Linked DNA regions of Lonchura striata. The protein of the gene in region 4 binds, or shares a complex with, the protein of the main gene of each other region. Links are inferred from orthologs where the notes say so. Each region holds a gene or a part of one and is shown on either strand. Other genes may lie near its edges.

Region 1 (7,821 bases), on a different chromosome or scaffold from region 4:
CTTCCCTTCCCTTCCCTTCCCTTCCCGACAGATTTGAGAAAGAAGTACTGGAAAGGTCTAACAGAGAAAGGAACTTTTGTGTTACAAAATCTAAGTTTCTGTAGGGAAATAAGGCAAAAGGAGCCTCTGGAAATCAGCTGGTTCTCTGTCCTGCCCCAAGACAGAACCCACACCACCTCCATCACTCTGGATAGATGCTTGTCTGACATGTTCTTGAAAGACTTTGGTGATGAGGAGTCCCATCCTTGCTGGACAGACTATCTCAGAACTTCTCTACTGTCACTGCTGTGCTTCTCCTTAATATCTAACATAAATCTTCCTGGGAGAAATTTAAGCCATTATTTCCTGTACTCTGTGTATGGGGAGCAGCTCTTCCCTGTATTTGCAGCAGCCTTTTGGACATCTGATGACTGTTGTTTTCTCTTTATCTTGTTTGGACCTTGCGGCTCTTGTCACACTTTGTGTCCTTTCCTTAACCATCCTGGTTTCCTGGTTTCTCCCACTCTTCCTCTGATGCACAGAGCCCTTGACGGCAAAGGTTGGTCTGGACCAGACACTGACAATTCATACCACGACCGAATTGCTTTGGAAGAGTTCCTCAGCAATTCTGGCAAAATTTAATTTTTCAACCTTAAGGAAATGCTGAGATGGAACAGCTTGTGGCCTGGAGAGCTCAGGGAATGGGGAGGAGGAGGAGGAGGGACGGAATGAGGAGAAATGAAGAATCTGAGTACTGTTGTCAGTGCCTGTGCTGCCACCAAGGGGATGAGAGCAGTGGGGCAGCATTCCTGCAGTTCCCGATCTTCTGGGGGTTTATCTGGTTATTTTGTGACAGGGTAGTAGTACTGTTAGCTCAGTTAGTACATTCAGCTTATGATCTGTCGTATCCCCAGATGTTTTTTTCTGAAAAATAAACATCTCTTCAGCCAGTTGTTCCCCGTCTTTTATTTAGACAGTTGTTGATCTATATCTTTATGTGGAGCCCTGCACTGTTTCTGACTGAAATATCCTGGTTTGAAAAAAACAGGATATATCTCCAAGTCGTCAGGATTTTAATTTTGATAATCTCTTGTAGCAAACTTGTAACCTCTCCAAACTGTATGTTGCTAGGAAATGGAATAAGTATGTTCTCTAAGTACATTATCCATATTGTTAATGAGACTATTGAATAATTCTGAACTCAGGAACAAATGGACATTGCTTTAGATTAAGCAGAGCCACCATCTTGGGATATTTTCTGGTTCTAGCATGTCTTCTCTGCCACATTGCATCAATTCTAAAACTATTGTGAATATTTTAATTTTCAGTGAAAAGAGCAATGCTGACTTAAGTAAAACTTGGATGAGGGAAACCACAGCTGCTTAAGGCAATCAGCACCTTCATGTACTTCTATAATTACCTACTGATCAAAAAATGGCAAGTAGCAGCAAACATACCTCCCTAAAACAACAGCTGCGTTCATCTCTTTTCTAATCAGACCATTTTAGTTTAATACCCTGAAAAGCCCTGAATAGCAGAAGTTAAACCAAACCACACACACAGAGACCAAGTGGGCTCCCAGTGCCCCAGGAAGTACCAGAGAAGGAGATCAGCCTTTCTCTGAAATGAAATGGTCTGGGAATGGGACATGAAGCTGAAAGTGAGTATGAATGAGGCCCCAGTGCATGCTCAGCCTTCAGGAATGAGTGGAGGAGCACAAGCCTTGCACAGAGCCCCATGGCTCAGAGAACTTCTAGGTCAGAGACGGCTGGAAGCCGTCAGGATACTTGCAGCAGTTGGAGATGACTTGGGTTAAATCGGTCACTTTTTAAAAGAACATTGACAACTATTTTCTACACTTTTATGGAAAAAAAAAAGTTGGGAAAATAGAAAACCAAACAATTTAAAATAAAATTATATGCTGTTTCTCTTAATATGGGAAATTAATTATTGCATGGTAACCTTCATCCTTTTGTGCAAATGGCTCACACAGTAGTTTTCCTGGACACTATTGTGAAGGGTTGAAGAATCACAGGAAATGGGTTTCATTCTCAGCTAGGTAATGTTGGGCAAGTCACTTCCATCCACTTGTACCGTATTTTCCATTTGCAAACGTAAGAGCTGCATCTACTGATTTATTTTCTAAAGTGCTTGGAGAACTACCGTCATGCTAAGTAAGAGCTGAATTTTTATTACTACAGGATTTTTAATTTTTTTTTTTTTTTACATTTACTCAGTTGACGGCTGAAGTGGACTGCCCGTGGAATTTGATGTTCAAGGAAAACTGCTTTTGGATGTCTGTTAAGGATATCCAGACAGATTACAATATACATGGTATGGTTTTCAGCTTAAATTAGTAGCACTTCATAGCAAATGTCCTCCTGCTCCAGAAGGTACTCAGTGGCTATTGGCGGAAATCGGGGCAGCTGCGGCTGCACGCCGAATCTGTAGCGAAGGGGGGAAACAAGAAAACCCTGAGATGCGGAGCCGAGCGCATGCTCCGGCCGGAGGACAAAGGGCCGGGCCGGCGAGAACAGCCGGCTGCCGCTCGGTGCCGCTCCTCCGCCGCGGCGCGGGAGGGGTTAAAGCGCTCCCGCCGCGCGGCCCCGGGCGCGGCCCGCGCTGACCTTCACGGGGCCGCGCTGCGCATGCGCGCGCCGCGCCCGGGGCCGCGCCCGGGGCCGCGGTTCTGCTCGCGCGGCTCGGCCCGGCCCGGCCCGGCCCGGCCCCGGGCGGGCAGATTGGCCCGGGCCGGTCCTCGCCCGCCCGCGGCGGGGCCGGGACCGTGGCAGGCGCACGCCCTGCCCGTGCCGGGCGCGCCGTTGCCATTCGGTGCCGATGGTGCTGGCGGCGGAGCGCGGGGGGACGCGAGGGGGGACCGCGCGCCGCGCCGCGCCGCAGCGCGGAGCCGCCGCCGCCCCTTCCCGCGCCGGGCCCGTAAGGACGGCTGCTGCAGGAGTCGGCACGGCCCGTCCTCGGTGCCGTTTCGCGCGGCGCGGGCTCGCACGGCTCCCCGCGAGGGGGAACAGCCGCACGGGCCGGAGCCGGTGCCCCCCGCGGCCGGGACTGCTGGGACCGCCGGCCGGTGCGGCACCGACAGCTAGTGCAGGAAAATGCACGGTGTCTGCCGGGCGCGGGAGGGGGCTCACATGATGGGAGCCAGCATTCCTGTGTGAGCCTGGGGTCTAAAAAGCATGGCAGATACCAGCTTCATGCTTGCCTTGCCAGTCACCTTGGCATGCAGAATTTAGAGTCCTTTAGGTTGGAAAAAGCCCTCCAGATCAAGTTAGCCTGACATGAACACGTCCACCAGACATGCAGCAGTTGGTTCCAGATTATATCTGCCTTTCTTTAGTTCAGCGAGAATTTAAGGAATTTTTCCAGCACAAAACAAGGCAAGGCTATGTTGATTTGCTTGGTGTATTCCTTCTGAGGGGCTTAGAGGAGCTGATAAGCATGCTCACCCTCGCTAAATTTCTGTGATTCCTAGGGCGGTTGCTATACACTAGCACTTAGATTGGGGTGGCCCTAAAAATCAGTGGAGGTCACTGTCCTCGTCCCCATGTTCAGAAGGCCATGTGACCTTCATGGCTTGCCCTTCGCTGCTAGTCAATGCAGTGTCTTTTCTGTGCTTGTTTTTATTATTGTATGAGGGCAGAATAATTTTTATTTTTCTGATCTGATTCTGTCGTTTGCAGTCTTGACAGAAAATTCACAGCCCCTAGACAAGAATTTAAAGCAGAGGAATAGAATAAGCCCCTCTTGTAACCTGGCAACATCTGGCCTATTGCTGTGTTAAGGGAGAGCAGGGAACATCGGCCCTTGTGAGCTGCCGGGAGCAGATGGGTGCCCCGGGCCATCGCTGCAGGCTCGGCCATCATGGAGCAGCCAGACTCGGCTTGTGGAATGGCCGCCGTGCTGCCAGCGCCACCTCGCCCCAGGGCCACCGAGGGGCTGGGCTGCTGCTCTCTTCTCTCTTCCCCCTTGGGCTTCATGTTCCCAGCAGTGTCGTGGCATCTCACACACTGTCGTGCAGGGCTTTGTTTGACAAGCAGTGAACTGCTGATGTTTTAGAGCAGCTGTGGTGTTAATAATTTGTCTGCGCCTGTCAGTCACCTGGGGTCTCTAGAGGATCCGTCGCAGTGGTGCCAGACCATCCCGGGAGTGGTCAGTGGGGAGAGGTGGTGCGAGTGGGGGCTGGAAACAAGCCGTGGGAGCTTTGCCGCCATGCTGCCCCCCACCCCTTCCTCCACTGATCTCACACACTTTCCCTTCGCTTCCACATGTCCCTCCCTGTTCCCAGCTCCGGCCTCCCGCTGCTTCTCTCTTGTCCAGAGGGGTTAGCTCTCGTCTCTCATGCTGGAAATGCTGCCAGCGAATGTTTCTGTGTGCTGCCTGCCAGGTCCCTGGGGAAAGGGCCTGGAAATGCAGTGCGGGAGGAGCAGTGGGAGCAAGGGAAAACCACTGTTCGCTGCTGCATTTTCTAATGGGAAAACATCTCTGCGAAGTGCTGAGCTCTGTGTCACTGCTGAAGTTGCCCCCTCCCCCTTCCCCTTGCCCCAGAATTTCCCATCCCTGATGCAGAGGAGGAGAGGCTGCAGCACTACCAGGGAAAACCGAGACGTATTTTTCAATTTGCCTCCTGCTTATCTCTGCTGTTTGGACAGAGAGGTTTAAAAAGCTGGATTTTCTGTCCCTGCAGAGTAAACAGACAGAGCCCGGCAGCACAAACTATTTCTGGCTTATCAGTGGAGGAATGCAGCAGCTGAGGCTGAGCGCGAGTGGGCCGTCAGGAAGGCCCTGAAGGGGCCCCCTCCCCACTCCGTGCTATTAGAAGTGTGAGAGCCCAGCAGGACTCAGAGGGGAGAGTTGGAGAAAAAGGCAGAAAAGGGAAAGAAAGAGGAAGAGAGAGAGTGAGAGAGGCTGAGCAGACCCTGATGGCTACAGATGAAGTTACAGGAGGGGCTCGCAAAGCTACGAAAAGCAAACTTTTTGAGTTTCTGGTCCATGGGGTGGTGAGTCGGGAAAGTTAGTGAGCTGGCTGGCTCTGAATAGAGGGATGAGTGGAAACTGGAGGTTCTGTGCTGGGCTGGATCGGCTCCTGCAGTGTGCTCCTGGGGCGCTGGTAGCTGCCTCACCAGGAGAATGCTGGGGTCTGTGGAACCCCCAGCCTATGCACTGATTCATTGTTAATACAGCTTGTGTCTGGGGGGATGTGTGCTGTGCTTTTTGCTGTGATTCTCCATGAATGGTGAATAGCATGCTTTTCAGCCTGATCATGGTGCAGAATCTGCACTGGATCTAACCCGTATTGGCTTGTAGGACACTTTGTTCTGTAATCAAACTTGCATTTTGAAAAACAATTCTGATGAGAGCCTGATGAAGCCTTGGGGTGCTGCCTTTGGTTCTTGTCTCCAGTCTTGGCTCATTTGTATCCTCTGGCTACTTAACAGGTGACTTTCAGGGGCTTGAAGAGATTAGCTCTGCAGGTCTGTAACAGTCTATGGAAACTCACCCACGAGAGAATGTCAGGGTGCCATGCTTAATTAAAGCAATCCTTCAGGTCTTTACAAATGTTCCAGCTTTTGTTAAATAATCAGGTCTTTGATCTCCATTTAAGGGGAAATGCTCACCCTGTTTTACTGCGACTGGAAACGTTCTTTAAATGACTCTAGTGTCTGAGAGCAGTCACCACTTATAACATTTGGATTTCTAGCATTGGTACACATTGAAGAGAAATAAGGCTGTTAAAAAGCCCAAAGGAATGTGATATTTGGATGCTGATATTCCCAAGTGCTTCTTTCTTGAGGATCCTGGCACCGCCTGTGGCACCTTTCTGAAGACATCAGGTGGAGGCTCTTGTACAGAGATCATAGAAACCTGTGGGGTTCAAGGCAGACTGTTGAGTTGTCTCCATGATAGGCCTACTCCAGATGGTAGGATCTTGTGTGTGTTCTTTAGATCCTGGATATGGTGGCACAGGCAGGGCCAAGGACTCTGAGGTAGCCTTCTGTGTTGGTGGGAGCTGTGAAGTGGTGGTGTGGTGCCAGTGCACAGGAGCAGGCTGGGCGAGATTGGCAGCTGCTCGGGGGTGACGGAGAGCGGGTGTGCAGTGGTAGCAGTGCTTTAGTTGTGGACATGTGGGTTTGTCAAGGTGGTCTGGATTGTGAGGCTGTATCTGAGCAGAACCAGAAGCACAAGTTGGAAGGATAGCAGATGGGATGATTTTGCCTTTTCCAAAGTTTCCCTTGGCATTTGCACACCAGTGCTCTTCCTTTAGTATCAAGAAGAGCGGCAAAAATAGTTATGTGAATTTGTTTATTCCACATCTAGCTGGCCTTTGTGTGAAAGCAGCATGCAGGGCTCTTAAGCCTGGGAGATTTTTAATTTATACTGGAATGAATATAGCAGAACTCATTTCCGTTACTTATTTGGATGCCAGGAAAGTCTGCCTTTTCTACCCTGGAACTTTTGTTGCTAGTGGCATCTTACTTGAACATATACATTAGCCTGGAATATCTATATATATATATCTCCTGCTTCTGTTCCTGAGGCTGGGGCTTCTTGGCTGTTGTTCTGGTGCCTGAACACTTCTTGTATCACCCTCTCTTTTCCTTCATTATCATCTCCTTTAGTTCTGCTTTGGTGCCTGGTTTGTTCTTTCCTTTAGTTTTTTCCTCATCTCAGGTTCATTTCAGTCAAAACATGGGTTGGGGTAGTCACTCTTCCATGACTTAAAAAAGATGAAAAAAAAGCTATAACTTTGTTTTATCTCTCCAGGCCCTGTATCCTGCCAAATAAGAGAATGTGCCATGCGAGCCATTACCTTGACTTTGCCTAGCACTGGCTCCTCTGTTTTATTACTATCAAAGTGTGTCAACGGCTGAATTAATTAATTGAAAAATCAAGTTGCATAGCAGACTTTAGTGGAATTTCTTGGAGTCAGACTCTGCTCTAATTTCAGGGACCAATCTCTTCTTCAAATGACTGATTTTTTTATTCTGTCGATGATAACATTATTTAACTTGGTTATTGAAAATTATTTTCTCTCCCCCCTCAAAAAATGGGGAGAAGTGAACAGAGGTAGAATGTTGTGAGAAATCTTTTTTTGCTTTGTTGACACTTAAATTAACAGGATATTTCCTGCAGTATTTCCTATGGGCGCTTAGCTCTTGGATTCACTTGATCTTTCTGGAAACATATATTCCTTTGCTAAGGTCACTTTGCCCTTTGCTCTTGTGCACCTGATCCTGCTTTTGTGCTTTTCCATACTGCCAGCTTAGATGATGTCTTCTTCCTCCTTTGTCCCAGGCAGAAGGGATCCCCCTGAAAGGTGAAGTCTTTCAAAGGTTGAAACTCTCAAGTGGGATGCTTCATTCTCTCCTGCTTGTGACCTTGATAGTTTGTTACACCTCTGGTTAGCAGTTGGGCTTTTAGAATGGTTACCTATCTTTCAGATATTTATTTTTACTATGCTTTTACTTCTTTTAGTTTTGTCAGTGTTTTGCGCATCATTTTTGTGGGAAGAATTTTTTTTCCCCCCAAAGATTTCATGCTGTACTTAGTCCTTTGTTGTTGTTCCTCTCTCTTTCTAGCTTTTGTATGGACAAATAGGCTTTAATCACCACATTTATGATGATTTTCTTTTTATCAGTGCATTTTCTGCTCTCCAGTAGTACATTTCAGGCAGTCCTTATGACATTGCTCTAGGTGTCCAGCTGTTACCTTGTATTTTGTTGAACAAGTTACTAGTCTTGCTGCAAGTCATTCCTTTCCTTGGTTGCCTCTATCCTCCAATCCCTACCATAGGCCTCATTGCTGGCTGGATTCCTTAAAGGGATC
Region 2 (7,189 bases), on a different chromosome or scaffold from region 4:
ACCCCAAAAATATCCCAAAAAATCCAGGTGAGACACCCCAAAAATATCCCAAAAATCCAGGTGAGATACCCCGAAAATATCCCCAAAATTTAACCCTAAAATTCCCCAAATTTAACTCCTTAAATCCCCCAAATTCCCCCAAAATTTAACCCCAAAATCCCCCAAATTTAACCCCTTAAGTCCCACAATATACCCCAAATTTAAGTCCAAAACACCCCAAAAATCCCCCAAAATCCCCAAATTTACCACCAAAATCCCCCAAAACTTAACCCCAAAATTAACCCCACATCCCCAAAATTTCCCCCAAAATTGAATCCTAAAATATCCCAAAATCCCCCTAATTCCCCCAAAATTTTACCCCCAAATTCCCCAAAATCCTCCAAATTTAACCCCTAAAATTCCTCAGATATCCCCAAATTTAACCCCAAAATCCCCAAAATTTAACCCCAAAATTAACCCCAAATCCCCCAAATTTCCCCCCCAAACTAACCCCTAAATCCCCAAAATTTAACCCCAAAATCCCAGAAATTCCCCCAAAATTTAACCCCTAAATTAACCCCAAATCCCCCAAAATTTAACCCCAAAATTAATCCCAATTTCCCCAAATTTCCCCAAAATTTAACCCCAAAATTAATCCCAAATCCCCCAAATTTCCCCCAAAAACTAACCCCAAATTCCCCCAAAATTTAACCCCAAAATTTCCCAAAATCCCCCAAATTTAACCCCTTAAGTCCCCCAAAATCCCCCAAATTTCCCCCGAAATCCCCCAAATCTCCCCAAATTTAACTCCTTAAATCCCCCAAATTCCCCCAAAAGTTAACCTCAAAATATCCCAAAATCCCCAAAATTTAACCCCAAAATTCCCCCAAATTTAACCCCAAAATCCTCCAAAATACCCAAAATTTAACCCCAAAATCCCCCAAATCTCCCCCAAACTTTAACCCTAAAATCCCCCAAATTCCCCAAATCTCCCCCAAAATTTAACCCCAAAATCCCTCGAATTTCCCCCAAATTTAACCCCAAAATTTCCCAAAATCCCCCGAATTTCCCCTAAAATTTACCCCCCAAATTTCCCCCAAAATTTACCCCCAAATTTTCCCAAAATCCCCTGAATTTCCCCAAAATTCCCCAAAATATCCCGCATTCCCCCAAAATTTAACCCCAAAATTTCCCAAAAATCCCCTGAATTTCCCCCAAAATTTACCCCCAAATTTTCCCCAAATCCCCTGAATTTCCACCAAAATTTAACCCCAAAATCCTCCAAATTTCCCCCAAATTCAACCCCAAAATTTCCCAAAATCACCCGAATTTCCCCTAAAATTTACCCCCCAAATTTCCCAAAATCCCCAAAATTTCCCCCAAAATTAACCCCCAGATTTTCCCCAAATCCCCCGAATTTCCACCAAAATTTAACCCCAAAATCCTCCAAATTTCCCCCAAATTCAACCCCAAAATTTCCCAAAATCCCCCAAATTTCCCCCAAATTCAACCCCAAAATTTCCCAAAATCCCCCAAATTTCCCCGAAATTTAACCCCAAAATTTCCCAAAAATACCCTGAATTTCCCCCAAAATTTACCTCCAAATTTTCCCCAAATCCCCCGAATTTCCCCCAAAATTTAACCCCAAAATCCTCCAAATTTCCCCCAAAACTTAACCCCAAAATTTCCCAAAATCCCCCAAATTCCCCCCAAAATTTACCCCCCAAATTTCCCAATTTCCCCCAGATTTAACCCTTTCCTTCCCTTCCAGGACCAGGTGCCTCTGCCAGACCCGCCGCAATTTTGGGGGGGGGGTCCCCAAACCCCAAATTTTGGGTCCAAATCCGCGGCTTTTGGGCAAAAACAAAAATCCCCCAAAACCCCCTCGGGCTCTGGGGGGGGTCCCCAAATTCTTTTGGGGGGTCCCCGATTTTTCATGCGGTTTTTGGGGGGGTGCCCAAAATTTGGGGACCTCCCCCAGTTTTATAACTTTTTTTTTGCCTTTTTTTGCCTTTTTTTTACCTTTTTTCCCCTTTTTTTGCCTTTTTTTTCATTTTTTTACTTTTTTTCCCCCTTTTTTTGCCTTTTTTTTGGCATTTTTTACCTTTTTCCCCCTTTTCTTTCCCCTTTTTTTTCCTTTTTTTTCTTAATTTTTTTCCTTAATTTTTTCCTTTTTTTGCCTTTTTACCCCCTTTTTTTCCTTTTTCTTACCTTTTTTTTTGCCCTTTTTTTCCCATTTTTTGCCTTTTTTCCCCCCTTTTTCCCCCCTTTTTTTTCCCTTTTTTTAACCTTTTTTTGCCTTTTTTTTGCCTTTTTTTTGTCCCTTTTTTTTCCTTAATTTTTTTTCCTTTATTCCCTTTTTTTTTTTTTCCATTTTTTAACCTTTTTTTGCCTTTTTTTGTCCCTTTTTTTCCCTTAATTTTTTTCCGGTTTTTTGCCTTTTTTTGCCTTTTTTTTGCTTTTCTTTCCTTTATTTTTTTCCTTTTTTTACTTTTCTCGCCTTTTTCTTCCCCCCCTTTTTTTTACCTTTTTTTTCCCTTTTTTGTCTTTTTTCCCTTTTTTTCCTTTTTCTTCCCCCTTTTTCCCCCCTTTTTTTTTCCCGATTTTTTGCAGGGTTTTTTTCCTTTTTTCCCCCTTTTTTTTGCCTTTTTTCCCCCTTTTCCCCCCTTTTTTTCCGCCCATTTTTTGTGGTGTTTTTTCCTTTTTTTTCAGTTTTTTCCCTTTTTTTCCCTTTTTTCCCCCTTTTTATCCCCCTTTTTTTGCCTTTTTTTACCATTTCTTTCCCTTCCCCCCCCTTTTTTTTCCATTATTTTTTCTTTTTTTTCCTTTTTTTCCCCTTTATTTTTCCCCTTTTTTGGCCTTTTTTTTCCTTTTTCCCCCTTTTTTGCTTTTTTTTTTTTTTGGGGATTCCCCCAAATTTTTTTTGGGGGGTGTGGTGGTCGCCCCTCCCCCAATTTTTTCTCCATCCCCCCAAATTGGGGGGGTCTTTTTTCCCATTTTTTCCCATTTTTTCCTCATTTTCCACTTTTTATTTATTTGCACTAAATTTGGGGAGGGGGGGAGGGAATTTTGGGGAGGGGGGAAAAATTGGGGAACCCCCCCCCCAAAAAAATCCCAAAAACTCCCCAAAACTCCCGGGAATTTTGGGGATTTCCCCCAGAACCGAAGTGTGAAAAATGTGAAATAAAAAATTTACGTTTTCAGCTTTTTGGGGCATTTTTGGGGTGATTTGGGGGGATTTTGAGGGGATTTTGGGGGGATTTTGGGGAGATTTTGGGGGGATTTTGGGGGGGTTTGGGGGGATTTTGGGGTAATTTGGGAGATTTTGGGGGATTTGGGGGGATTTTTGGGGATTTTTTGGGGAAATTTGGGGGGATTTTGGGGGGATTTGGGGTTTTTCGGGAGTCTCTGAGAGGATTTGGGGAGATTTTTGGGGGAAATTTGGAGAATTTGGGGGATTTTGGCGGATTTGGGGGATTTTGAGTGGATTTTGGGGATATTTCCAGGGGATTTTGGGGGATTTTGGGGAGGATTTGGGGGATTTTGGGATTTTTGGGGAGGATTTGGGGTGGATTCCGCGGGCTTTGGGAGGATTTGGGGTGGATTTTGGTGCGATTTTGAGGGATTTTGGGATTTCTGGGGAGGACTTGGGGGATTTTGATGGATTTTTGGGGAGGATTTTGGGGATTTTGGGGGGATTTTGGTGAGAATTTGGGGAATTTGGGGTGGATTTTGGGGAGGATTTGAGGGATTTTGATGGATTTTGGGGGGATTTGGATGGATTTTGGGGAGGATTTGGGGGATTTGGATGGATTTTGGGGGGATTTGGATGGATTTTGGGGGGATTTGGATGGATTTTGGGGAGGATTTGGAGGATTTTGATGGAATTTTGGGCGATTTTGGGGCTCCCTGCCCCCCCTCCCCCCCTTAGCACTGACAGGAGGGAGCCCCGCCCTTAGCCCCGCCCCTTTGCGGTGATTGACAGCTCCCCCAGCCAACCAGCGGCGCGCGGGGCACGCCGGGAGTTGTAGTCCCGCCGCCCCGCCGCCATTGCCCCCCTCCCCTCCCCCCCGCCCGGTACCGGCGGGCACCGGCAGCGCGGGGCGGGGGGGGAGGGGCGGGGCGGGCGGGGGTCCCGCGGGCTCGGCGGCGGCCCCGGGGGGGCAGCGGGGGAGGGGAGGGGGGGCCGAGCCCCGCCGCCCCCTCCCCGAGCGCGGAGCGGCCCCGGCGGCGCAAAATGGCCACGGCTCTGCACAAGCCCCTCAAATGGTGAGCGCGGCTCCGGGGCACCGGCACCGGCACCGGCACCGCCCCGGCACCGGCACCGCCGCCCGGCGCCGCCCCGGCACCGCCCCGGCACCGGGCTGGGCCCCCCCCACCCCCAGCCCGCACCGGCACGGCGGCGGCGGGGGCGGGGTGGGACCCCCGGTACCGGGGCTGGGAGGGGATGGGGGCTCGGTACCGGGAGGGGATGGGGGCTCCGGTACCGGCACCGGCAGGGGATGGAGGCTCCGGTACTGGCAACGGGAGGGGATGGAGGCTCCGGTACTGGCAACGGGAGGGGATGGGGGCTCGGTACCGGCAGGGGATGGGGGCTCGGTACCGGCAGGGGATGGGGGCTCGGTACCGGCACCGGCAGGGGATGGAGGATCCCGTACCGGTACCGGCAGGGGATGGGAGCCCTGGTACCGGGGCTGGGAGGGGATGGGGGCTCGGTACCGGCACCGGCAGGGGATGGGGGTTCGGTACCGGGAGGGGATGGGGGCTCGGTACCGGGAGGGGATGGAGGCTCGGTACCGGGAGGGGATGGAGGCTCCGGTACTGGCAACGGGAGAGGATGGGGGCTCCGGTATCGGCACCGGGAGGAGATGGAGGATCCCGTACCGGCACCGGCAGGGGATGAAGGATCCCGTACCGGCACCGGCAGGGGATGGAGACTCCCGGTACCGGCACTGGCAGGGGATGGAGACTCCCGGTACCGGCACCCGGAGGGGATGGGGGCTCCGGTAACGGTGATTGGAGGGAATGGGTGACCACCAGTACCGGCACCGGGAGGAGATGGGGGCTCCGGTACCGGCACCGGCAGGGGATGGAGGCTCCGGTACTGGCAACGGGAGGAGATGGGGGTTCGGTACCGGGAGGAGATGGGGGTTCGGTACCGGGAGGAGATGGGGCTCCGGTAACGGGACCGGGAGGGGATGGGGCTCCGGTAACGGTGATGGGAGGGGATGGAGGCTCCGCTACCGGCACCGGGAGGGGATGGGGGTTCGGCACCGGCAGGGGATGGGGGTTCGGTACCAGTACCGGAAGGAGATGGGGGTTCGGTACCGGCACCGGGAGGGGATGGGGGTTCGGCACCGGCAGGGGATGGGGGTTCGGTACCGGCAGGGGATGGGGGTTCGGTACCAGTACCGGAAGGAGATGGGGGTTCGGTACCGGCACCGGCAGGGGATGGGGGTTCGGTACCGGCACCGGCAGGGGATGGGGGTTCGGTACCGGGAGGGGATGGGGGTTTGGTACCGGTGCTGGGAGGGGATGGAAATCCCCGGTACCGGCACCGGGAGGGGATGGAGGTTTGGGGTTTGGGCCCGGTACCGGCGGGGTTGGACCCGGTTCGGGCGGGGATGGAGGTGCCGGTACCGGCGGGGTTGGACCCGGTTCGGGCGGGGGATGGAGGTGCCGGTACCGGCGGGGTTGGACCCGGTTCGGGCGGGGATGGAGGTGCCGGTACCGGCGGGGGATGGAGGCTCCAGGATGGAGCTCCCGGTAGCGGCGGGAGGGACTCGGTGGGGATGGAAACCCCCGGTACCGGCTGGGAGGAGGACCCGGTACCGGTGGGGAGGAGGACCCGGTACCGGTGGGGAGGAGGACCCGGTACCGGCTGGGATGGGGACCCGGTACCGGCTGGGATGGGGACCCGGTACCGGCTGGGATGGGGACCCGGTACCGGTGGGGAGGAGGACCCGGTACCGGCTGGGATGGGGATCCGGTACTGGGATGGGGACCCGGTACCGGCTGGGATGGGGATCTGGTACCGGCTGGGATGGGGATCCAGTACTGGGATGGGGACCCGGTACCGGCTGGGATGGGTATCTGGTACCGGGATGGGGATCTGGTACTGCCAAGATGGGGATCCGGTACCGGGATGGGGATCCGGTACCGGCGGGGTCCCAGTCCCAATTCTGGTCCTAATCCCGGTCCCGGTCCTGGTCCCAGTCCCGGCCACAGTCCCAATCCCATCCCAGTTCCGGTTCTGATCCCGGTTCTGATCCCAATCCCTATCCCAGTCCCAGTCCCGGTTCTGATCCCGGTTCTGGTCCCGGTTCTGATCCCAATCCCTATCCCAGTCCCAGTCCCAGTTCTGATCCCGGTTCTGGTCCCGGTTCTGGTCCCAATCCCTGTCCCAGTCCCAGTCCCGGTTCTGATCCCAATCCCTATCCCAGTCCCAGTCCCGGTTCTGATCCCGGTTCTGGTCCCGGTTCTGGTCCCAATCCCTGTCCCAGTCCCAGTCCCGGTTCTGATCCCGGTTCTGGTCCCGGTTCTGATCCCAATCCCTATCCCAGTCCCAGTTCGGATCCCTGTCCCAGTCCCGGTTCAGATCCCGGTTTTAATCCCGGCCCAGTCCCGGTTCTGATCCCAATCCCTGTCCTGGTCCCAGTCCCGGTTCAGATCCCGGTTCTGATCCCGGTTCTGATCCCAATCCCTATCCCAGTCCCAGTCCCGGTTCTGATCACGGTTCTGGTCCCGGTTCTGATCCCAATCCCTGTCCCAGTCCTGGTTCAGATCCCGGTTCTGATCCCGGCCCAGCCCCGGTTCTGATCCCAAGCCCTATCCCAGTCCTGGTTCAGATCCCGGTTCTGATCCCGGTTCTGATCCCGGTTCTGATCCCAAGCCCTATCCCAGTCCTGGTCCCAGTCCCGGTTCTGATCCCGGCCCAGTCCCGGTTCTGATCCCAATCCTAGTCCCGATCCTAACCCCTTCCTGGTGCAGGTTCTGATCCTGGTTCCAGTCCCAGGTCTGATTCCATCCCGGTGCCGGTTCTGATCCGGTCCCGGTGCCGGTTCTGATCCGGTCCCGGCGCCGGTTCTGATCCGGTCCCGGCGCCGGTTCTGATCCGGTCCCGGTGCCGGTTCTGATCCGGTCCCGGTGCCGGTTCTGATCCGGTCCCGGTGCCGGTGCCAATGCTGGTCCCTGTCCCAGTTGGGTCCCT
Region 3 (8,013 bases), on a different chromosome or scaffold from region 4:
AAAAGAGCAAATGAAGTTGGGTAACAGTGAGGACAGAGTAAGAGAAAAGCTGTTTTTCTCACTCATGTGGGAGTAAACATTAGAAAGCAAAAAGCCTGCTTCATCAACAAACTCATCTGCCACTCAACCAGACTTGTGGGTGTACAGAGACAGTGTAGGTGCACATTTTGGGGACTGGGAATGGGGCTGGGCCCAGCCTCATCCCCAGTGTCACAGCTGTGAGCAGCAGGTGAGCAGCACTGGCAGCAATGAGCCAGGGAGTGCCCAGGTGCTCTGAGCAACCACCAAAGGGAACAGAGGGCACACAGGGGCACTGCAGGAACATGAGGGGATAAAAGGCTGGGCTGAAGAACAAGAAGGGGAGATGCTTGCAGCCTTCTGAAGAGGTGTTACTCTGCATGGGGTGAAGCTTTTTGTTATTGTATGCTGGTACTCTACATGTTGTAGCTGTCTCAAATGTGACATGTGCTGCAATGGGACAGCACACTGGTCTATGAAAACCCTTCTCAAATAACTGAAAGGCAATTAGGCTTAGGTTAATTTGCTTGAAACTAGAGTGAAATCAGAGTTGGATCTGAGGTCTTCACTGTAACCTAGGCAATACAGAGGCAGTATCATCATTTTTCACTCTCTGTGTGCTGATAGGTCTTAAAAGCAATGCTGTTTACTCTGGCTGTCAGGATCGTGGCATGCTGTTCTGTCTTCTGTTTGTAAGGATGAAGGCTCACACTTGGCATTGCCACTTTGTATGGTTAGGGAAAGCAGTTCAAAACCTATCAGAATTAGCTACAGCAAAATGAACTTTCATTATTTGGCCTAGGAAACCTAAAGAGAAGTCTGATGCAGTGAGAGACGTAGAAGAAAGATGGATCTCACCTGCTGCTTACTGCAGTGATTTATGATGGCATTTACTCCTTCAAGCACATCTGCTGAGTCTGATCCTTCAGGGTCTATGATACTTCTCAAGGCCAGAGTGAGGGCACTGTTAGAAGGATCTGCAATTATACTTGGACTGTCCAGCATCTTTGTCTGCTTATCAAGGTGCACAATTTGCATGGACCTGTTCAGAGAAAAATGCACTGTGAGCAGATAATCAGTGAAGGACTGGTAATGGTGAGGGATGCAAGACACAAAGCTCAGTGTTGGATTGAATGTACTTCATAAAGTCAGTTTCAATGTTTTGTCATCATGTGCTTTGCGTAGGATAGAAATTTAAACAAACAAAACAAACAAAATTTAAACAAACAAAACAACCTTCAAGCAAAAGCATACATATTCCACAATATAGAATGCTTTGCAAAACATCAAGTTTATACACTATCCCCTGGAGAAAGCTTGCATCACACATACCAATACCTTTCATCTTGCAAATTTTAATGTGCATTTAAAACTGCACACTGGGTGTGCTTTGTCCCTAATGGACTAAAACACAAACTCATGGTAACTGAAACACAACAAACAAGGAAAGGAACAGCTTTTATCAGACTGAGCTTACTTGGTAACACCTCTTGTCAGGCCAACATTACAAGCACGCTTTCCTTTGAGACTGTTGATTATGCTGCTCTTTCCCACATTAGGGAAACCTGAGGAAAAATCACATAAATCCTTTTAAGTTAATAAGAAAACAGCTTTTTAACACCAATCAAAACAGCTTCTTCCAGGTAGCTTTGCTAACGTAAGCATCAGTGTGAGATCAGAGTTGGATCTGAAGTCTTCACTACAGAAGTAAGACAAAGAATGTATCCTCATTTCTCACACTTGTAGGATTTGTGGTGCTATACTCCATGGGATTTTTGTCAGGCATGGGGAAGGCAGGGCCAGTGGAGCACATATCCTGCCTTCTTTGTTCTCCCACAGATCCCCGTGCTGCACATGGCAGTGCACCATGGATCCCTGGCAGCTGAAGCACTACAACACTGAGAGTCTTGGAGCAAAGAACAGTGACTAGAAAGCTCATTAGCAAACCAGGTGTCAGCAGTTTTACCCAGTCCAGGAATACAGGATCCCAAAGCTTTATAGGAGAAAGAAACTCCTCCTGTTTCTCCAAACACTTACCTACAACCCCAACCTGAATGGCTTTGTCTTGGGTCTTGCCATACCCTTGAAGAAGCTTCAAAAGGCATTTGCTTCCAAAATACTGAGTGGTTTCTGCGAAATCAACACGTGCATGTCTTTTTGTGACCTGTTCCTGCTACCAGATTCAAAGGCAAAAAAAAGCCCATGGTCAGGAGCTATTAAGGAAGATAAAATATGGATACTTAGATTTATTAATCTACTGTAATTTCCGTGCTAAGAATTCTCCCACTGTATTGCAAAGCTCAATTGAAGTGTAAAGGCACATCCATCAACCAAAAAGTGCAACCAAACCAGGGAGAAAGGAATTTTAAAGATGTTCCAACATGTATGACTGCAAACACATGAACTTTTCGTGGGACAGCCTGCAGTGCTCTTACCATAGTCTTGTCCTTCATAATTGTTGCTGACTTAAAAGCAACTGTTGGAAACTCCTTCTTCAAATAATTCAACCATTTCTCTATGTTGTTCTTTGGCACCAAATCTGGAAAGAAGAGCAGTTCTTTCACTCCTTAAATTAATCCTATCATGACAAATACCATTTGGCTGAGAACTCTAATATGAAGTACTGGATACCTTCCCCAAAGGCACACAGAGTCTCTCTTTCTGCCTTAGCAGAACATATCACAATTACATTTCTGGCCTCTGTATTAGGCTTTTAATGCTGGGCTCTGGCTAGAAGACTTTGCATGGTACAGAATGATCTGTGAAAGATTCTGACTTCTACCACAGAGTTCCCTTTGCTCTTCTTGTTGCTCTTGGTATTTTGTTTTCTTTAATTAGCTACTGGTACTGGGTAATTTCCAGCCTTTGTAGTGAGCTCAGAGTTGGATCTCATGTCTTCAATGGAATCTCAGATTCCTTTAAAATCTTCATAGCTCACCCACCACAGAAACACAGTGCCAGTAACACTTTGAGAAAACCTGTGTTTCTTACCAATTTTGTTCAGAACCAAGAGCAGCTTTTTGTTCCCTCCAGAGGAAGTGACAGCTTGCTCCAGCTGAGGACACCTGCAGCCCATTGGATCTCTGGCATCCAAAACCTCCAGAACTACATCTGAGGCCTCAAGCACCTGGGTCAGAAAAAAGACAGGAATCCAACAAGACATCACAGACCAGATTACAATTCTGCTATAGCTGTGGCTTACAAAAATAGTTAACATTTTCTGTTGTAAAATCCCATCAGTGTTCTAGTTTATCACAGACAAACTTTGTGCTCTAAACAGTAATACAAAAAAAGCAAAATAACAAGTGATCTTATTGCTGACTCTTTAGTGATATAAAATATCTATATATCTATATCTAATGATAAAAAAAATAGTTAAAGCATTTCACCTTCATAAGCTCCCTGCAGAATGATTTCTTAGAATTTTTATTCAGTGGTTTTTTAGTCTTTCCTTTAGATTTGCCAGGGGAGTCCTAAAGCAAATAAAAACAAAAGGAAATTATTTAAATGAGAATTAGTGTCTACTACTTGTGTGCATATTCAGCATGAAAATGTAAACTGCTGCTTAAGAAGGTGCAGTTTCAGGATGACTTCTCCAGGTTCAAGGAATCAAAATCATACAGGACCCCTACCTTTCCCTCTGCTTTCTCCTTGATTGTGACTGCATTCTTTTTAGCTTCCAGCTTCCTCTTCTTTTCATGTTCTTTCTGTCTATTGAGCTTCTGCTTTTGTTTCAGTTCTTCAAGCTGATCACAAACAAAAACCCAGGGCAGATAAAACATCTTCGAAGGTGCTAAGGAAGAATGTTCTTTCTCCCCATTCCTGACCCAAGCTCCTGAGCCAGCTCAGTTAGAAGTCCTGGCTGTCCAAGTAACTCTGGGAACTCTTTTTTTGCATCCTACCCAGAGGCAGCCATGCATTTGCTTGATCCCAGAACAGCAGCGCTGCAGCCACCACTACAGCTGACAAATGCCACATTAGTGCACACTGCAGACAGCAGATCCCGATTTTCTGTGTAATCACATAATGCCATGATTTAACTCCCAGCACTCTGATGGGACATTTCTGTATCCCAGCACCACAGGGAATTCTGACTGCATTAGAAAAGACACTTCCAGCATGCTCCCATCCCAGTGAGGAAACGAAGGTTAAAAATAAAAGAGCAAATCAATGCACACGGTACGGTGCTGGAAATAAATACATCATTTTTCCAAAGCACGAGTTTGCTGGGACCATCTACCATGACTGCTCCTCTGAGTGCACACAAAGCTTCCTTACAGAAGGGGATGCTCTCAGTTCTTGTTCTCTTTACCGAAAACTGTGTTTTACCCTCTGCTTTCTTTGCTCCGCTTCCCGCAGCAGCTCTTCCTTAAACGGCGCAGCACTGGGAATTCCGGGGTCTTTCTTGGGCTTCTTGTGGCCGCGTTTCTTGGCCTCCTTGCGGACTTTCCGGTGGTGTTCTCTTATCTGAGGGAAGCACAAGAAATGAGGGCAGGCACAAGAAACGTTCTCACTCTGAGGCCCAAAACTTCAGCGCAGCGGCCCCAAAATCGCCGAACGCGGCGCGGGGGCCGCGCTGGGCCGGGCCTCACCTTCTTCTGGATCTTGTAGCGCTTGTGGCAGCTCAGCCTCTTGCTCGCCTTCCGCAGCTCTGCAACGCACCGCGCCCGTCAGCGCCGCAAACATCCCCCGGCCCCGACTCCCGCCTCCTCCACCGCTGCCGCTCGCTCGGCCACGGGCGGCCGCCGCCCCCCGGTGCCGGGCCGCCGCCCGCGCCCTCCCCGTGCCGTTCCCGCCCGCTCGGTGCCCGTGCCCGTGCCCGTCCCGGAGCCGCTCCCGGCGCTCACTCGGCCGCTTCATGGCGCCGCCACGTGCTCCCGCCGGCGGGCGCTGCCGTAAAGCGCGCCGGCGCTGCCCCGCCGGGGTGTCGCGCGGGCTCGGCGCGTTGGGCGGCCGGGCGCGCTTTGCGGCAGCGGCGGCGGCGGCACCGGCGGTGTCGGACGGGCGGTACCGGCGGGACGGGCCGGGCCGGGCGGACCCCGCGCACCCACCCCGGGTCGGCCGCGGCTGCGGGAGGCGGAGCGGAGCCGGCGGGGTGAGCGGCGCGGGCGGGGCGCGGGCCGGAGCTTGGAGGCCGCTGCCTCCCTTTGTGTGGCGGCGCCGCCCGAGCGCGCAGCGGCCCCGGCGCGCCGGGCCCGGGGCACCGAGCGCCGCCGGCCCCCGTCACCTGCCCGGGCCCGGGTGCGCCTCAGCCCCTCCTCCCCGCCCCGCTCCCGCCGTGTTCCCGTGCCGGCGCCGCCCGGGCCCGCGCGCTGAGCGCGGCGGGTCGTGCCCCGCGGGGCGGGCCCGGGACCCCGTCCTGGCCGCCCGGTGCCGGGAAAGGCTTTTCTTTGTTTCCTGCCGGGGATAGCGCCTCACCTCCCGGGCAGGGCTCCGGCGCCTCGGGCAGTTCCGGATTTGCTGCCTTTGTTCCTTGTCCCGGTGCCGGTAAAACGATGGATGTGTTGTCCCTCTCGCTTTCCCGTCAGCTTTGCCCTGTTACCGTGCCTGGCTGCTGCCAGCCCCCTCTTCCCATCCCGTAGCAGCTTTCAATGGGATCGGTAACCGGGGGAAATTCCGGCTTTTCCCTCCCCTGTTCCCTTTGCGTTTCCCTCCCCTGTTCCCTTTGCTAAATTTACCGTGTTTCGTGTTTCTGGTGAAACGTGGGAGATCCTGATAGCAATAAGTACTACCCGTGGTATCTGTTGGCTTTTCGCTTTCCTCTGCCTGGAGGCAGAAAATGAACCTCTAGTGTGTTAGAACGTTTTATTTTAAGTGTGTTATGTCCGACGAGTGTAAAACCTGTGGGTGTAGGGAGGTTGGAGTGGGTGACACTTGTTGTGGTCCTTCCCTACAGCTTTTGGGAGGGACAGCCTTCCTTCCTTCCCCCCGTTGTGTATATCAGTATACATGTGAATTAGTAATGGCCAAAGCCTTTCTTGCTGTGGTTTTGTGACATTTTTATGGCTGGTGGGGGCAATTACCGAGGAGATGCTCAAGCTGCTGTTGAATTGGAGGTGGTCAGTGGTAGCAGTGGAGATTCTTGGTGTGACTGTTGAGAGACCTGTGAGCCAGCAGTGCAATTGCAGAAGAAACTCAGGGAGAGAGGTTCTTCAGCAAAGCTGTGTTTCTGTGCACAGCTGAGTTCTCTGTGCTTAGGAGTGTGGCAGTTTAGGAAGAAGTTTGTGTTTTGGAGCCTCACCTTCAGTGAGTGGTACATCAGCAGGTCTCTCCCTGAGTGTTTGTGATGTTGTCCAGACTGATGCATGTTTTACAGGGTTATTAGAGGAGAAAAACGTGTTTTGGAGGCTGTGTGAGTGGTGAGGGTACCTTGATCACAGCAGTGTCAGAGTATGGCTGAGATCCACAGCATTGTGCCCCGGACAGTACACATGGAGCAGCTGATGTACAGTCTGCAGGCAGTTCTGGTTGGGAGCTTCCCAGATCTTTATTTCAGGATGGGACTGGTCTGAGTGTACTCTTGGGTTCCTGGTTGAAGCAGAATTATTGATTCTGGTAGTCCCTCCTGCCTTTCCTCCACAACCAAGGGCTTGTGTTTCCCAGCACCTGCCTGGTGGAGCCACTCCAGACTGTAGCCCTCAGATGGAAGTTGGAGGCTGTGCCAAGGCTTGAGGCTGTTGTCAGTTCCCAAAATGAATTGCCTGCTGATAAACCACAGAGCTTCTCTGCATGTTCATGTTACGAGAATGTTCAGAGTGCTGAACTGTAAAAGAACCTCTCTGGGGTTTGATTGAAGGCAGGAGTTGGAAGAACTACGCAGAAGCAAACATTTTGCTATTAAATGGTTCTGTGTATTTCACATGGAATTTCTGTGAAAAAAATAAGGCTTGGAGGCTTAGAAATTGAAACTTTTTTTTTTTTTTTAGCGTATGGCTGCATACTTACTGCTTACTTCTGAGTATAAAAGTCTACTCTGAAGAATTTTGGAGGTGCATCATCTTAGAGTTTAATAAATGCTTGTTGACCTTAAGATTATGTTCTTATAAGCACTGTACTGCTTTGCATTCTGTAAGTTTTACAGCTTTCTGGTTTGTACTCTCAGGTCAGGTATCACTTCTGTTTACTTTCTGCTCTTGATGAATCATTCTCTAGCAAGTGGCGGTGAAATCTGTAATGCATATTCAGGAACATGAGAGAAATGTATTTTTACTGTGACAATGACAGAAGTGTCTAGCATTCTGTGTACAGAATTACTTTGTAGAGTTTCTGCTGGGCTATAAAAAGTTGCCTTCTGTTTCTTGCTTTTTTTCTCTGTCACTGTAATTATCCACTTTATTCTTTGATTTTATTCTTTATCTACCTAGTCTGAATTTTCTTCTCTCTCTCTTTGCTTTTTCTTGTCTTCCAGTTGTGGCTGTACTAACACCATTACTGGTTTGCCACTCTTAGAGTGTCCCCTTCTCGCAGTATCTGTGCTTGCCCATCAGACACTATGAGGAGATTGGCTTTTCGAGGTGCTGGTTCTACTCTGGTAAATCTGGTAAATTATTGATTGTATCTCCATCCCTCTGCCTTGGCCTTTTGCTTTTCTTTTTCCTAGCTGTTAATTATTCCTACCTTACTCATCTCATGTGTGTGCCTGAAGTTGTCTCTAAGAGAAATGCTTTAATGCAGTTACCTCGTGCTGCCATACCTTGTCAACCATCTGAGTGCCTCCTGAAAGAAATCCCTGGATTTGGTTGGAAAATGGGGATGGGCTGGGATAGATGCATCTGTTCTGTGCTCAGCCTTTGAGATAGCCACAAATAAAGATACGTTTCTGATGCTGTCACTGGAAGTTGGGAAAGAGCCAATAACTTGTTCCATAAATTACCATAGTTGTTGGATGGTGGTTATTCATTTGTCACTGCTTGTGTTGGTAAATGCAAAACTATGGCCAGAAGAGGAGGGAGCTTTTTCTGTTTCTCCATGGTTGAGCCATTCATCCCACACATA
Region 4 (7,876 bases):
TGGTGTCCCAGGGTCCCCGGCACTGTCCCCAGCACTCCAGGCCATGTCCCTGACCAGGGCACTGTCACTGGCCGCTGTCCATGGTCAGCTGCTGTCCCCGAGCCACCAAATGCTGAACGGTGTCACCAGGGCCGTGTCCCTGAGGCTTTGGGTGCTGTCCCTGCTCAGGGTCGTGTCCCCAGGTATTGGGGTGCTGTCCCTGCTCAGAGCTGTGTCCCCAGGTCTTTGGGGACACGGCCCCAGGGCTGTCCCCGTCTCTGGGGCACTGTCCCTGCTCAGGACCCTGTCCCTGGTCATCATTGTCCTTGTCCCCTTTTCACTGGGGCTCTGCCCCAAGGTTTGGGGTGCTGCTTCTGCATTTTTGGGATGCTGTGCCCATTTAGGCCTTGTCACCCTGTCCCTGGGTGCTGTCCCCAAGTCCTGGGGTTCTGTTCCTGAGCACTCAGATGCTGTCCCTGGGTATTGGGGTGCTGTCCCCACTCAGAGCCTTGTCCCCTGTTCTTTGGAGCTTTTTTGGGGGGCTCTGGGGCCCCATTCCCACTCAGCTTTGTCCCCAGGTTTTTGGGTTGCTGCATGTGGGGCACTGGGGCCTCATCCCAGGGTCATTGGGGTCTGTCCCCAGGCCTTGAGGGCACTGTCCCTGCTCATCAGGGTCAAAAAATCCCTGGGTCCCCAAATCCCTGGGGTCCCCAAATCCCTGGGTCCCCAAATCCCCAAGGCTCTGTCCCTGGGATTTTGGGGTGCTGTCCCCAGGTCTTTGGGCTCTGTCCCTGGGCACTGGGGTGCTGTCCCCAGGTCTTTGGGCTCTGTCCCTGCGATTTTGGGGTGCTGTCCCCGAGGCTTTGGGCTCTGTCCCTGCTCAGGGTCTTGTCCCTGCTCAGCAGGGCCCTGTCCCCAGGCACCAGGGCTCTGTCCCTGGGCATTGAGGGGACATCCTGAGTACTGGGATGCCTTCCCTGGATATTGGGGTGCTTTCCCCAACCTGGGCTCTGTCCCCTCTTCTTTGGTTCTCCCCCCTGGGTTCCTCCAGGACCCCATCCCAGGGTCATCCCTGCACTTTTGGGGCTCTGTCCCTGCTCAGAGCCTTGTCCCCGCTCACCAGGGCCATGTCCCCAGCTCTGAGGGATGCTGTCTCCACATCTTTAAGGCACTCTCTCCAACCTGGGCTCTGTCCCCACCTCATTGAGGCGTTCTCCCCATCCTGGGCTTTGTGCCCTCTTCTTCGGGGCTCTTCCCCAGCTCACCGGGGTGCCATCCCCAGGTCTCTGGGCTCTGTCCCTGCTCACCAGGGCCATGTCCCCCGCTCTGAGGGATGCTGTCCCCACATCTTTAAGGCACTCTCCCCAACCTGGGCTCTGTCCCCACATCTCTGAGGCGTTCTCCCCAACCTGGGCTTTGTCCCCCATTCTTTGGGACTCTTCCTCATCTCACCGGGGTGCCGTCCCCAGGTCTTTGGGCTCTGTCCCTGCTCAGAGCCTTGTCCCCGCTCACCAGAGCCATGTCCCTAGCTCTGAGGGATGCTGTCCCCACATTTCTGAGGCGTTCTCCCCAACCTGGGCTCTGTCCCCACCTCATTGAGGCGTTCTGCCCAACCTGGGCTTTGTGCCCTCTTCTTTGGGGCTCTTCCCCAGCTCACTGGGGTGCCATCCCCAGGTCTCTGGGCTCTGTCCCCGCTCACCAGAGCCATGTCCCCCGCTCTGAAGGATGCTGTCCCCACATCTTTAAGGCGTTCTCCCCAACCTGGGCTTTGTCCCCCGTTCCTCGGGGCTCTTCCCCATCTCACTGGGGAGCCGTCCCCAGGTCTCTGGGCTCTGTCCCCGCTCACCAGAGCCATGTCCCCCGCTCTGAGGGATGCTGTCCCCACATCTCTGAGGTGTTCTCCCCAACCTGGGCTTTGTCCCCTCTTCTTTGGTTCTCCCCCCAGGTCCCTCCAGGACCCCATCCCAGGGTCATCCCTGCACTTTTGGGGCTCTGTCCCTGCTCAGAGCCTTGTCCCCGCTCACCAGGGCCATGTCCCCCGCTCTGAGGGATGCTGTCCCCACATCTTGAAGGCACTCTCCCCAACCTGGGCTTTGTGCCCTCTTCTTCGGGACTCTTCCTCATCTCACCGGGGTGCCGTCCCCAGGTCTCTGGGCTCTGTCCCTGCTCTGAGCCTTGTCCCTGCTCACCAGAGCCATGTCCCCAGCTCTGAGGGATGCTGACCCCACATTTCTGAGGCGTTCTCCCCATCCTGGGCTCTGTCCCCTGTTCCTCGGGGCTCTTCCCCATCTCACCGGGGTGCCGTCCCCAGGTCTCTGGGCTCTGTCCCTGCTCACCAGAGCCATGTCCCCAGCTCTGAGGGATGCTGTCCCCACATCTTTAAGGCACTCTCCCCAGCCTGGGCTCTGTCCCCACCTCATTGAGGCGTTCTGCCCAGCCTGGGCTTTGTCCCCCGTTCTCCGGGGCTCTTCACCCGGGCACCACGAGCGTCCATGCCCGCACCTCCGGGGCCCCGTCCCTGCTCAGGGCCTCGTCCCCCGCTCCCCGCGTGTCCCGGCCGCGGTGTCCCCGCGTCCCCCCGCGGCTCTCACCGGCAGCTTGGTGAGGGGCGCGTTGCTGACGTGCTTCCCGAACACCTCCTCCTGGAACTGCAGCAGCTGCACCACCAGGCTCGACAGCGACTTGTTGGTGGGGGGCTCGGCCTGGATGTACTGCGGGGCCGGGGCTCAGCGGGGCCGGGGCTCAGCGCGGCCGCCGCGGCCGCTGAGGGGAGCGGGGCGGGGTGGGGGGGGCGCGATGGCGGCGGCGGCGGCGCCGTGACAGGCCGGGCCCGGCGGGCCGGAGGGCGGCCCCGCGGTTCCCGCGGACCTACCTTCTTGTAGTTCTTGCCCAGCCACAGCCGCACGTTGTCGAACTGGCTGACGGTGTCCGAGGCCTCGTAGTACTTGACGTTGGGGCCGCCGTCCTTCTTCCGCACCGCCATCTTGAGCGGGCCGGGCCGCGCCGCCGCCTGCGCCCGCCGCTGCCGCCCCCTGCCGGCGCCGCGCCGCCACTGCCGCGCCCGCCGCTCGCTGTCCCCGTTCCCGGTCCCTGTCCCCGTTCCCGGTCCCTGTCCCCGATCCCGGTCCCTGTCCCCGATCCCGCTGTCCCCGATCCCGCTGTCCCCGTTCCCGGTCGCTGTCCCCGATCCCGGTCGCTGTTACATCCCCGCCGCCCGCCTTGGTGCCCTCCCGTTCCCGCACTGCCGCTCCCGCCGCCCCCGCTGCCGCCCCCTGGCGGTGCCGCTCCGGCACTGCCGCCTCCGCCTCTCCCGCCCGGTCTTGCCGGTGCCGGTCGCTGGTCCCGCTCCCGCCCGGTGGTTCCGGTCCCGGTCGCTGGTCCCGCTCCCGCACCGCCACCCCCGATCGTTGTTCCCGACCTCGATCGTTATTCCCGGCCCCGCCGCCCCCGTTCTACCGCCCGCCACCGGTCCCGCTGCGCCCGCCACCGCCTCCTGCTGGTCCCGTTCCCGCCGTTCCCGCTGTTCCTCAGGCGCCGTTCCCGGTCCCGGGCGCCGTTCCCGGCCCCGAGCCCCCGCTCCACCGCCCGCTGCTGGTCCCGCTGCCCTCGGGCGCCGTTCCCGGTCCCGGGCGCCGTTCCCGGCCCCGAGCCCCCGCTCCACCGCCCGTTGTTGGTCCCGCTGCCCCCGGGCGCCGTTCCCGGTCCCGGGCGCCGTTCCCGGTCCCGGGCGCTGCTCCGGCCCCGAGCCCCCGCTCCACCGCCCGTTGTTGGTCCCGCTGCCCTCGGGCGCCGTTCCCGGTCCCGGGCGCTGTTCCCGGTGCCGGGCGCTGTTTCCGATCCCGGGCGCCGTTCCCGGCCCCGCCGCCCGCGGGTGCGACAAGAGAGGCACGACAAGGAGAAATGGGTTTAAACGAGAGGAGATCGGGCTCGGACGGGATTCGGGGAGGAAATTCCGCCCTGGGAAGGGCTGGGATGGATTTCCCGGGACAGCCCCGGGAGCGTTCCAGGCCGGGTTGGACGGGGTTTGGAGCAGCCTGGGATGGGGGAGGGCGTCCGGAGGGAGCCCCCGGACGGCACCGAGCACCGGGCTCCGAGCATCAGGCACCGAGCACCAGGCACCGGGCTCCGAGCACCGGGCACTGAGCACCAAGCCGGGTACCGAGCACCGGGCACCGAGCACCAGGCACCGGGCACTAAGCACCAAGCCAGGCACCGGGCATTGAGCACCAGGCACCGAGCACCAAGCCGGCCACTGAGCACCGGGCGCTAAGTACCAAGCGGAGCACCGAGCACTGGGCAGCGAGCACCGGGCACCAACAACCGGGCACTGAGCACCGGGCACTAGGCACCAAGCCGGGCACCGGGCACCGGGTACCGGGCACTAGGCACCGGGCACCGGGCACTAAGCACCAAGCCAGGCACCGGGCACCGAGCACTGAGCACCGGGCATTGAGCACCAAGCTGGGCACCGAGACCAAGCCGGGCACCGAGCACCGAGCACCGAGCACCGGGCATTGAGCACCAAGCCGGGCACCGAGACCAAGCCGGGCACCGAGCACCGGGCACCGAGCACCGGGCACCGGGCACCGGGCACCGGGCGGGGGCGGGCCGGGAGCGGCGGCGGGCCCGGGTCTATGCGGAGCGCGGCGGACGGAGGCGCCAGAGTCACGGTGGCCGAGTGGTTAAGGCGTTGGACTCGAAATCCAATGGGGTTTCCCCGCACAGGTTCGAATCCTGTCCGTGACGCCGCGCTCGCTTTTGCTGCCGGCGAACACACGTGGCAGCTGCCCCGGTACCGGCTCTTTTAACGGCGGGAGCGGCACGGAGCCTTCCGCCCTCCCTAGTGGCTCCCCTAACGGCGGGAACAGCGGGGAAGACACAGCCTCAGCCTCCGGTACCGGCTCCTTTAACGGCGGCAACAGCACCGATCCCCCAATCCCCGGTACCGGCTCCTTTAACGGCAGGAACAGCACCGATCCCCCAATCCCCGGTACCGGTTCCTTTAACGGCAGGAACACACAGATCCCCCAATCCCCGGTACCGGTTCCTTTAACGGCAGGAACACACAGATCCCCCAATCCCCGGTACCGGTTCCTTTAACGGCAGGAACACACAGATCCCCCAATCCCCGGTACCGGTTCCTTTAACGGCAGGAACACACAGATCCCCCAATCCCCGGTACCGGTTCCTTTAACGGCAGGAACACACAGATCCCCCAATCCCCGGTACCGGTTCCTTTAACGGCAGGAACACACAGATCCCCCAATCCCCGGTACCGGTTCCTTTAACGGCAGGAACACACAGATCCCCCAATCCCCGGTACCGGCTCCTGTAACGGCGGCAACAGCACCGATCCCCCCACAGGTCCTGGCTCCTCTAACGGGGGTAACCATAGGGATCCTCGCTCGGTTACCGGTCCTTAACGGCGGCAGCAGCGGTAACAACACGTGCTCTCCCTCCGGTACCGGCTCCGTTAACGGCGGGAGGATCAGAGAGTCCCCACGCCTCGGTACCGGGTCTTTAAGGGGTGGGAACATTGGGGAACCCCCTCTAATCCTTTAGGATTAGTTCCTTTTTGGGTCCTTTAGGGGTGGGAGCAGCAGGGACCCCCCAGACCCAGTCCCGGCTCTTTTTGGGGTGGGAACAATGGGGACCCCCCTAATCTCAGCTCTTTTTGGGGTGGGAACAATGGGGACCCCCCTAATCTCAGTTCTTTTTGGGGTGGGAACAATGGGGACCCCCCCTAATCCCGGCTCTTTTTGGGGTGGGAGTAGTGGGGACCCCCCAGACCCAGTCCCAACTTTTTGGGGTGGGAACAATGGGGACCCCCCCTAATCTCGTCTCTTTTTGGGGTGGGAACAGTGGGGAACCCCCCCAAGACCCAGTCCCAGCTCTTTTTGGGGTGGGAACAATGGGAACCCCCCTAATCCCAGCTCCTTTAGGGTCAGGAGCAGCAGGAACCCCCCAGTCTCAGTCCCATCTCTTTTTGGGGTGGGAGCAGCAAGAACCCCCCAAAACCCAATCCCAGCTCTTTTAGGGTTGGAAACAGTGAGAACCCCTCTAATCCCGGCTCTTTTTGGGGTGACAGCAGCAGGAACACCCCTCTATTCTCTGATCTTTTAAGGGCAGAAGTGGGGACCCCACTCCGGTCCCGGCTCTTTTAGGGGTGGGAACAATGGGGACCCCCCCTAATCTCAGCTCTTTTTGGGGTGGGAACAATGGGGACCCCCCAGACCCAGTCCCAGCTCTTTTTGGGGTGGGAACAATGCGGACCCCCCCTAATCTCGTCTCTTTTTGGGGTGGGAGCAGTGGGGACCCCCCAGACCCGATCCCAGCTCTTTTTGGGGTGACAGCAGCAGGGACCCCCCTCTATTCTCTCATCTTTTTAAGGGCAGCAGAAGTGGGGACCCCACTCTGGTCCCAGCTCTTTTAGGGGTGGGGACAAGTTCATCCTTTTTGGGGGGCACATCTGGGGGGCTTCGGAGCCCCCAGACCCTCCGTCACCCCCATTCCCTCCCTGGAGTGACATTTATCGATCCCCAGATGCCCCAGGATGGGGAGGACAGCCCCAAACTCACCCATTTTTACCCCAAAACCGAGCCCCCCGACACGGGGAGGGTTTTGGGGTGCAGGAGGAGGCCCCCAAAGCGGGGATAAAGCAACCAGAATTCTGTTTATTGATCACTTCAATCCCTGCCTCCCGCCGGATCTGCCGGGACCGACACCGGAGGAGAAAAATGGTAAAAAATAACCCAAAAGAAACGCAAATAAATTAAATTCCCAACGAGTCCCACGGACCCAGGCCAGAGGCGCCTGCCTACGGTACTTGGAAAAAAAATCGAATAAAAAGGGGGAGTAAAAATGAGAAAAGGTCCAAAAAAAAAAAAAAACAAAAAAAATTGAAGTACAAAAGAAAATAAAATACAGATCCACGATCACGAGTGTCTGGGAAGCAACAGCAAGGGTGGAGGAAGCAGAGTGGGAGGAGGTGGGGGATGCCCGGGGGGAATTCCAGAATTCCAGAGGGGGCGAGGAGAGGGAGCTCGGCAGATTTGGGGGGACCCCCGAGGGGTCTGGCAGTGCTGGAGCCCCCGCCGCCCCCTCCTCGCTGGGTTTGTAACGGCTCCAATCAAGCGAAGAACCCGAAAATTCCAAGTCCAGAAATTCAATTTTTCCTGCCGTCCCAGGATGGAGAAAACGTTGATTTTTTTTTTTTTTCCAAATCTCCACGCCACGAGCAAAAAAAAAAATCACAAACCCTAAAAACACCGAGTCCGGGAAACCCCACAGCCATCCCGAGGTGGATTTTGTTTTTTGTTCTTCAGATTTCTTCCACGCTGCGAGCGAAAATCAAAAACCCTAAAAATGCCGAGTCTGGGAAACCCACCCCCACAAGCCATCCCAAAGTGGATTTTTAGAAATTTTTTTTTCTTTCTTCAGATTTCCTCCAGGCCGTGAGCGAAAATCCCAAACCCTAAAAGCGCCGAGTCGGGGAAAACCACCCCGCCGTCCCAAGGCGGATATTTTCAATTTAAATTTTTTTTTTTTGCTTTTTTCAGATCTCCTCCACGCTGTGAGCGAAAATCCCAAACCCTAAAAACGCCAAGTCCAGGAAAACCCCCCTGCCATCCCAAGGTGGATTTGTTTTGTTTTTTTTTTTTGTTCTTCAGATCTCCACGCCGTGAGCGAAAATCATGAAAATCCCAAACCCTAAAAACGCCGAGTCGGGTTGTCCCGAGGCGGATATTTTCAATTGAAATATCTTTTTTTTCACCTTTTTTCAGATTTCCTCCAGGCCGTGAGTGAAAATCACAAACCCTAAAAACGCCGAGTCAGGTCATCCCGAGGCAGATATTTTCAATTGAAATATCTTTTTTTTCGCTTTTTTTCACATCTC

What was found.
Region 1: SMARCC2 (region 4) and SMARCD3 share a complex: the UniProt entries of both Homo sapiens proteins name them as parts of the BAF complex. The link is inferred for Lonchura striata from reciprocal best matches to the Homo sapiens genes SMARCC2 and SMARCD3.
Region 2: SMARCC2 (region 4) and zinc finger protein neuro-d4 share a complex: the UniProt entries of both Homo sapiens proteins name them as parts of the neuron-specific chromatin remodeling complex. The link is inferred for Lonchura striata from reciprocal best matches to the Homo sapiens genes SMARCC2 and DPF1.
Region 3: SMARCC2 (region 4) and PBRM1 share a complex: the UniProt entries of both Homo sapiens proteins name them as parts of the SWI/SNF-B (PBAF) chromatin remodeling complex. The link is inferred for Lonchura striata from reciprocal best matches to the Homo sapiens genes SMARCC2 and PBRM1.

Annotation. Positions count from the first base shown.
Region 1 is NC_134603.1:157,074,579-157,082,399, forward strand, and holds the start of SMARCD3 (SWI/SNF-related matrix-associated actin-dependent regulator of chromatin subfamily D member 3), read left to right. Parts: upstream 1-4,813; 5' UTR 4,814-4,916; coding exon 4,917-4,994; intron 4,995-7,821. UniProt on the Homo sapiens protein: Involved in transcriptional activation and repression of select genes by chromatin remodeling (alteration of DNA-nucleosome topology).
Region 2 is NC_134633.1:4,835,294-4,842,482, reverse strand, and holds the start of zinc finger protein neuro-d4, read left to right. Parts: upstream 1-4,176; 5' UTR 4,177-4,216; coding exon 4,217-4,248; intron 4,249-7,189. UniProt on the Homo sapiens protein: May have an important role in developing neurons by participating in regulation of cell survival, possibly as a neurospecific transcription factor. Belongs to the neuron-specific chromatin remodeling complex (nBAF complex).
Region 3 is NC_134614.1:9,331,057-9,339,069, forward strand, and holds the start of PBRM1 (protein polybromo-1), read left to right. Parts: upstream 1-4,999; 5' UTR 5,000-5,113; intron 5,114-7,426; 5' UTR 7,427-7,510; coding exon 7,511-7,558; intron 7,559-8,013. Other genes in the region: GNL3 (guanine nucleotide-binding protein-like 3), read right to left, coding at 877-1,060, 1,496-1,583, 2,056-2,191, 2,454-2,557, 3,010-3,145, 3,408-3,491, 3,651-3,764, 4,348-4,485 and 2 more. UniProt on the Homo sapiens protein: Involved in transcriptional activation and repression of select genes by chromatin remodeling (alteration of DNA-nucleosome topology). Required for the stability of the SWI/SNF chromatin remodeling complex SWI/SNF-B (PBAF).
Region 4 is NC_134629.1:5,444,163-5,452,038, forward strand, and holds the start of SMARCC2 (SWI/SNF complex subunit SMARCC2), read right to left. Parts: upstream 3,011-7,876; 5' UTR 2,963-3,010; coding exon 2,852-2,962; intron 2,691-2,851; coding exon 2,571-2,690; intron 1-2,570. UniProt on the Homo sapiens protein: Involved in transcriptional activation and repression of select genes by chromatin remodeling (alteration of DNA-nucleosome topology).